2 linked regions of the Xenopus tropicalis genome follow. The protein of the gene in region 2 interacts with the protein of the main gene of each other region in a pairwise test. Links are inferred from orthologs where the notes say so. Each region holds a gene or a part of one and is shown on either strand. Other genes may lie near its edges.

Region 1 (4,217 bases), on a different chromosome or scaffold from region 2:
GGGAATTCAATTTTGAATTCAAATGGAACCTCCTTTCTTCTAATCGGAATGGGTGCCCTTTTGTCTGCTGGAAGGACCTACTGGTAATTAAAACAATTAGAGAGATTATATATAATCCCCTTATATATTGAAACATAGTTAGCATATCACCCCTTAATCACTGCTTCTCCTGTGTAAACAACTCTAGCTTGGCCAGTCTTTCTTCATAACTGAAAACCCTTTACATTTTTCTTAGTATGTTAAAAGGGTTAAAGTGCAATATTTCTACTTAAATCATTCTTCATATGTTTTATCTTTCATGTACAACTTTCATTTGCTGCAAATATACCGACAACCTGAATACTAAACAGTGTAATGATTTGGATTGTATTTACAGTGTTACTTACAGAACCTCCTCTGGGAAAACATGGCTCTCTTCTTCCAGTTGGAGTTCCCTTGCCAGCTCCTCACTCATGACCTCCGCCAGGGAGCACTGAACTGCAGGCTTTGCAGCAACACCCCAGGGGCTCTAACAATACAATTAATAGGCAATATTACATTATTCCACACTTCATCTTTTTTGGGATGGATATTAATGAAGGAATTATATTATTTGTTTATATGTTTATTAAAGGGGAGATGGACCCTCTTTTTCCACAAGCTCAATATACAGCGCTTGTGCTGAACATATTTTTTCATATTTTTTTAACTAGGAAAAATTTAGTTTTCCATTATGTCTAACACTAAACAAGGCAAAAACAGGAATTTAAACCACTTTCAAACTTTCTTTTGTTTTTGTGAGCAACTGTCGCTTGTCTATAACTATAAGTAGGTAAACAAATTACGTCTCAAGGAGCCCACTGTATGAAAAGCTATTTCATATCTCAATTTCTGACAAAGGCCTCATCTTAGGAAAGGGAGGATTTTGTTTAAACAGAGCTCAATATCCCCAACTGGAACAAACTATCCTCAATTCAGGAGAAGGGAATAAAGGTAAAACACAATAATCTATTAGAGTTTTATAAATGAACCAGCCCAGGGAACTTTCTAGAGTTCACAAGGGATGACTGGGAGAGTGAAGTAAAAGGGAGTGCACTGGACTAGGGAGAAACTTAATTCACTAGGCGTGCCTAACATTTTGAACACCAATAAATTAGGCTTTCTTTCTTCTTTAAGAAAAATCCATATTTTCGTCATTTTGTTTTCCTACATGAATTAGGCTTTTCTTATTTGCGCCTTTAAAACCAATAAATCCAATAAATAAAAATACCACAGATTTTAAACAGAGAAAAAGCCACAGATACAAACTGACATACCTTACATTTTGCTGCACATGAATGAATAAAGCTACCCAAATTGAAATGAATAGCCCCCCATGACACCAGACTAGGGAGAATAAAGGGTAGCAGTGTCACTCTGGTCAATAAGTTTCCCCTCTGTGACATGTAATCTGGCCTTCCATTGGCAACAACGATGTACGTGCGATCTCTAAGCTATATAATTAGGTGATATCACAGAACAGAAGATTATACAGTCATCTAAATGTGTCACTGCTGACTCACAGAGTATTTCCCAATGTATATTTATAGCATCAGCTCAAACTTTCGTGCAAAGACAAAGTAAATCACAGGCCATAAAGCAATGGCTCCAGTACCGGCTGACAAACCTGACCTATCAGGACACTGAACAGTTAGTGCGGTTGTTGGGCGCTTGCAATGCATACAGTGCTGCATACATAAGTAGCCCTATACAAATAAACACAAAATACCCACATATACAGAGAATTACATTTGTTACAGAAGTGCTTAGTCATACTTATTTACTGGACAGTGGAGTATGTACATTTACAGCCTACTGTAAATAATATAATGGGCTGGAAGTCTATGGACTTTGTTGTACCCATGTGACCCCAGGAAATTCACTAATAGTGAGAGAGTAACAGTCTGTAGGTCTCCATAGAAAAGCCTCTAACATGTATTGGCACTAGGTAATCAGGTTTCTTTCAACCACCATGATGAGTAAATATATATCCCATAACTCAGCTAAGTAAATGGGAAATGAAAACCATGTGTGCAAGCCTCCTTGTACTTGTACCTTTATTGCACACTTTTATTATATTTAATATTTGTATTTTTTTTTGTCTATGTCAAGTTGGGAAGAACACGGTTAAAAAATTTCATTACAGTAATGATGCTTCATTGTTATTTGTATATGACAATAAACTTGAAACTTCTTTAAATGGAAACACTGGATATCATATCACTTTACTTACTGCGGTGAGTGTGTATACATTATATATATATATATATACACACATATACATATACACACACACACACACATATATATATATACATATATACACACATACAAACATATATACACACACACACACATATATATATCCTAATTAACCTTATCTGACCCCGCCCCCTAGAAGGCATAGGGTTTAGTGCTAGTATAGTAAACTAGTAAAAGGACACATGAACGACTACATTAACTACTTCCCTACAGCTGTTACCTAACTACAACTCCCAGAATTCCCTAACAACCCTGCTATGAGTCGTTTACAGCAGTGGGCGAGGGGGTATAGAAAGAGCCTGTACAACTTACCGGCCGGGTTTCGGGTGCGATGATTCCACCTTGATCCATCTTCTCATTCAGCCTAGTATGGGTGCCGGGGGAGAGAATGTCGGGCTCAGTAAGTAGAGGAGGAGGAGCTCGGAGCAGACTGTCACTATGACTATATGAGGTCTGTGTCGCCTCGGAACGTGCCCGGACTTGTCTCAGTGCGGCTGACACTGAAAAAGAAAGTTAATTCTCGCAGAGCTACACTAGTCTTGATATTAATAATACAGCTACCTATATTTTATAATGAAAAGCGGAAGGTTAGGCTGCGAGTGACAGTTAAGAAGAATCAGCACCAGCTCCTGAGAACCTGCTCTCTACTCGATGGCCGCTGCGGATCTAGGCTGAAGCAATGCATCTTGGGGGATATGACTTCACCCAGTAACTGGGCGGAACTGCGCGTCGAACTGTAATCAATGGGCGGGAGGAGATATGCGGCTTTCTGATTGGCTGCGAAACACTGAATAGGTGGTGACTTAGGTTGAGCTAAAGGCATGAAGTATCTGATGTATTAGAAGAGATAACATGTATTACTGATGCTGTCATACGTATATTCCTTACCTCACTTAACAACCAGAAGGGCCTACATAAATAAATGACAATGATTGTTGCGCAAGCAGCGTGGCACTGCTAACCTGTCAATCCTCCGTAAAGGGGCGGGGCGCGGAAAGTGACAGTGTGTTGCTATTGGAGAAGCGAGTGAGCGACGTGTCTGTGTCATGGCTGCTCCCAGTTGAGTGCTGTAGTGTAGTTCTCAGCCAAGCCAAGTTCATGTTCAAGTGGCGGCAGCTCCGGAGGGTATGCGGTGACAGATGTATTTTAGGGGACCAGCGGTGGGTCTCACCTTCTGCTGCTTTTATTTGTCTTCGTACTTCACAAATAAGGTGAGATTTGATCATTTAGAGATTGGTGTAGTAGTAATTAAGCTTGCAGGGTTTGGTTTAGGGCTGAAGAACTTGCTACTTAAGGGCTGTTGTTGTACTACACCTGATAGTAACTGGAGGGTACTAGGTTGAAGAATCCTTATTTATGCTTCCATTATCATAATTATTGTAATAAAGAAACCTTCCAGGTAGCAGTTCCGCTCACTATATATATATATATATATATACAAGAGCCGAGCTCACTGGGAAGCTCCTTGCTTTTTTAATGAAAGCATAAATAAGGCTTATTCAACATACTACCCTTCAGCTATTTTTTTTATCCCCCCTAATATCTGGGCAGGCATTGATATTCAGCTTTTGCATTGCTTCCCGTCTTACAGTTCAACGCCGATACAAATATTCACTCAGTTTAGTCAGTTCATTACACTCCTGACTCTAAAAGTGGCCACACAAAGTGGCGATCTGCGATGGTCGCACGAAAGATCCTCAGATCCGCCACTAACCTTCAGGGCTGAAATGGCAGATAAGGAGGTACAAACAAAAGGATATCTACCTCCTTCTGCCGATTCAGCCCTGACGGCAGATTTTGCTCAGGCGCCTTCTATGGCGCCCGATCAAAATCTTTTTATCAGCAGCCTGCGACTCGCCAACTTGCCATACACGTACCGAATATCGTACGAAACAAGGGTGTTGCAGGCTGCGACTTCTGCTCTAATGTGGGCAGTT
Region 2 (3,651 bases):
GATATCACAAAAATGCTTCCGAAAAAATCGTATTAGTCATGATAATATCGTATTGTGATCCGAAAGTCACAAAATTTTCGTACCGAACTATTGTAAACAGCGGCAAATCCAATCCAATTTTTTCGCACTGAAAATACGAAAAAGTCGCACAAGCGCCGAAAAAGTCATGCAAGGTACGAAAAAGTCGCGGAAAATATGATTGGACCGATCGAGCGAACGGTCGGGGCGTTCGTAAATAAGTAAATTAGCCCCTAAGTGTGAGTGCTGTGAATGTGTTAAATCCCCCCAAAATGTATATGTGCGTGTAAGTATAAGTGTGTATTAGTGTAGTAAGTGTGTGTTTGCATGTGTATGTGACATTAACCTGGGGAGGCTAGAGAAGCAGGCTAGAGATTCACAGGAGGAACCCAGGAACAGGAGGAGCCATCTTTCCTGCAGATTCTATGAGTATTCGCACTGGGGGGGGTGGGTAGAAAGTGCAAGCAACAGCAGGCACATAGTAACCACGTGCTTGCTGTTGCCTAGGGGCCCCTGGGTGATCATGCCCCAGGGGCCATTTGTTCCCCACCTCTACTCGTTGCCTAGGGGCTGGGGAAGGAACGGAACAAGTGCTCCTCCGCTCCCAAACCCAGATAGTATGTTGTGTGGCACTTAAAGGGTTAAAGGAGAGGGAAAGTCTAAATCACTAGGGAGTAGGCAGTGATTGTAATAGCTTACCTGATACTAACCCTGTTAGCAGAAAACTGCACCAGACTGGGGTATTTCTGCACAATAATTTGTCCTTCTCTTCTTTTCACCGGAGCACGGGCATGCGCATTACAGTCAAAGAGTCTTACCTTTTCTTTCTAAGTTCGGCTTTCCCTTTACTGCGCATGTGCCTGCCACAACTGGAATGAAAAGAAGAGGGAACATTCCGAAGAAGATGGCGACAAGTTTTATCTGCAGAAATATCCTGGGCCAGTACATTTATTAGTGATTTAAATTTCCTTCTCCTTTAAATATAAAAGGAATGTACTTTAAATAGTTGTGTTTAGTAAAAAAAATCTGCAAAAACCCTGGTAGTCTTGCCCAACTGTTCCACTTCATGCACTCTCCTTTCCTAGGCTGTGCAGGGGGGGGGGGGGAATGGTGGCATTTACACTGTAGGATAGGAACCAATCAGCAGTTAGACTGACCTGAGAGGGAACTGAAGCCTGTCTTTGCTTGTGTGACTGCAGGGCTGTGCAGACCATACTATTGTGCTTCTGACAGGGACCACCCACCCCTTATTTGGGACAGGGACCGTAGCAGATCTATAGGGAGCTCCAATAAAGGGGCCATTTTTAAAGACAATATTAATTTGTTAGACCAAAGTGAAACCAGCACCATAAATTATACATTATTGCTACAAGATTGGAGGGGGTTTAAGTTATCCCATATATCTCCTTTGAGGCTGCACACCAGCAGGCCTGGCTATGTCACAGCATATAGTTGCTGAAAACCACAAGCACTGCCTACAGTGCGTTGTCACGTGTCAACCGTTACACTCTAGCATATGCATGTCTTTTATATATGTGTGCTGGCTGGTAAATACCCGGTGTGGTAAGGGGGGTTACACTTGTCACATATCTTAGGGCCAGGGGGATAGCAAGAAAATAAAAGTGGCACAGTCAATGGGCCCTGGGCAGATGCCCCTTTTGCCCTTTTAAAGCGTAAGTTTTATAATTATTGTTACTTTTTATTGCTTATCTGCCTATTCAGACTCTCTTCTAACCATTTTCCAATCTTTTTAACCACTTCTTGGTTGCTAGATTAATAGAGAACCGTGCAACCATATAACATTCGAAATTCTATACTGGGGAGCTGCGGAAAAAATAAATAATTAATACACAACAAGAAATTGAAAAACGAAGACGAATTACCAATCACCAGAATGATTCAAACCTGCATTTAAAAGAAATTATTTAATCTGGAACATCATGTTTTTTACTAGTAACTACTGATAAAGCTCAGTTGACTTAACAAATTATTAAAAAGCAGAACAATCACTGGGGAGTGGCAATTTGTTAAGCACCCCACACTGACTAAGACTTATCTGAGACCTCAGAAAGATGCTCCAGTTTGCTGAAAACTGCACTAGCCCGGGATACTACCAAAACAAATTTTTAAAAAAAATAAAGACCAATTGCAAATCCCTAGTGTGATTAAAACCTGCATGAAAAAGAAAGTGTTTTATCTGGAACATTCACAGTTAATGTAACCAAACATTACCCCCACTGATAATCACTTATTTGAGTCCCCAGGCAGGAGCCCCATGTTGCTGAAAATTGTACCAGCCCAGGATACTAGTGGAGCACTCCATAATAAGTGTACCCAAGGTTGGACTTACAGCAAGCTCCCCATACATACATGCACGCACACACACACATCATGTTGCATCTATTTTATAAGGCACAAGTTCAAGCCAGCAGGGGGTGGACCTGGGCCCACCGGGATAATGAATTAAAAATTTAATTTAACCTATTAGTGTACTATTTTTCCTGATCTGTTAGTTTTATAATATAATCCATATGAAATAGAGGACATCATACCTATAAGGTGATATTCTCCCCTGGCGTGGAAGAGCTTTCTGCACTTTCTCTTTATTTGTGCCAAGATTACGGAGGAGGCTGTGGTGATTAATAATGTATAAAAGTTCCTTTAACAGAAAAAAATTGTCCTCATTTATTAAATCTTCGGTCATGAGTTGCTGAAAAAGTTCCTGGCCAGACCGTACAGACAACAATTTATTTTTCCTGAGGACATCCCTGCAGAGAAATTTTAAAGCCTCTATATCTTCTCGTCCTAATCCATCATCAATACTTAGAAGCATAGAATTGAAATCCATCTTAGAAAGTGCAGAGGTGCAGGGTAAGTGTCAGCTCCACCTAACAAAAGAGATATAGAAATATAAAGATTCAGTTTTAGTAAATTTAGTAAATTAATATACAGTCAAACCCCCCATTTTTGTTTTCCTGGATCCTTCCAGGACATTTTTTTGAAGGCCCTTCATTTTATACTATATTTTAAAGTAAACATTTCTCAGATTTTAAGCCAGAGTTTCAGCATTATATGTCGCATTTTGGCCCATTTTCCTTAAACACCAGTTCAGTGGCAGAGATCAGGGTCCAGACCATGGGTTCTTCTTCCTCTACAGCCGCTCTAGTCCTGGAAATTATCAGCAGAGGGGCGCTCGCACCTGTGAGTCGGAGGGATGAGGGGGCAGCTAGGCAGCTGTGTTCCTGGCCTCTCCGAAGGTGGGGGGGCTGGTGCATTTTTGTTATGCTGTTGAACTTGCTTATAGCCTGTGAATATTATTTGGAGTTGGTGAGGAGTTCATGGGGTTAGCACACAAGACCTCACAGTGGCCCCTGACTACTGAAAAGTGCCTCATATGTTATATATGTTATTAGCATAATACAATACTTTTTTTTTTTAATAAACTACAACATTTTGCTCTTGTGAAATGTATAAGTAACTGTGTTTATGCATGCCTTACAACCATTATGTGCTGCTGTGCACTTTATCAGCCCTGCCCTCATCAGCCATCCACTACACCCCACCCCAGTCTCAGCAACATGCACAACGAAACCCAGCTCCCCTTCAGGCTGATGCCTCGCTCCAGAGGGCAAG

The links.
Region 1: the proteins of casp10 (region 2) and riok3 interact in binary tests that used the Homo sapiens proteins (3 or more experiments, as listed by UniProt). The link is inferred for Xenopus tropicalis from reciprocal best matches to the Homo sapiens genes CASP10 and RIOK3.

The regions. Positions count from the first base shown.
Region 1 is NC_030682.2:109,055,306-109,059,522, reverse strand, and holds the start of riok3 (serine/threonine-protein kinase RIO3), read right to left. Parts: upstream 2,926-4,217; 5' UTR 2,632-2,925; coding exon 2,593-2,631; intron 509-2,592; coding exon 387-508; intron 1-386.
Region 2 is NC_030685.2:53,954,964-53,958,614, forward strand, and holds part of casp10 (caspase-10), read right to left. Parts: intron 2,907-3,651; 5' UTR 2,867-2,906; coding exon 2,571-2,866; intron 888-2,570; coding exon 837-887; intron 1-836. UniProt on the Homo sapiens protein: Involved in the activation cascade of caspases responsible for apoptosis execution. Recruited to both Fas- and TNFR-1 receptors in a FADD dependent manner. May participate in the granzyme B apoptotic pathways.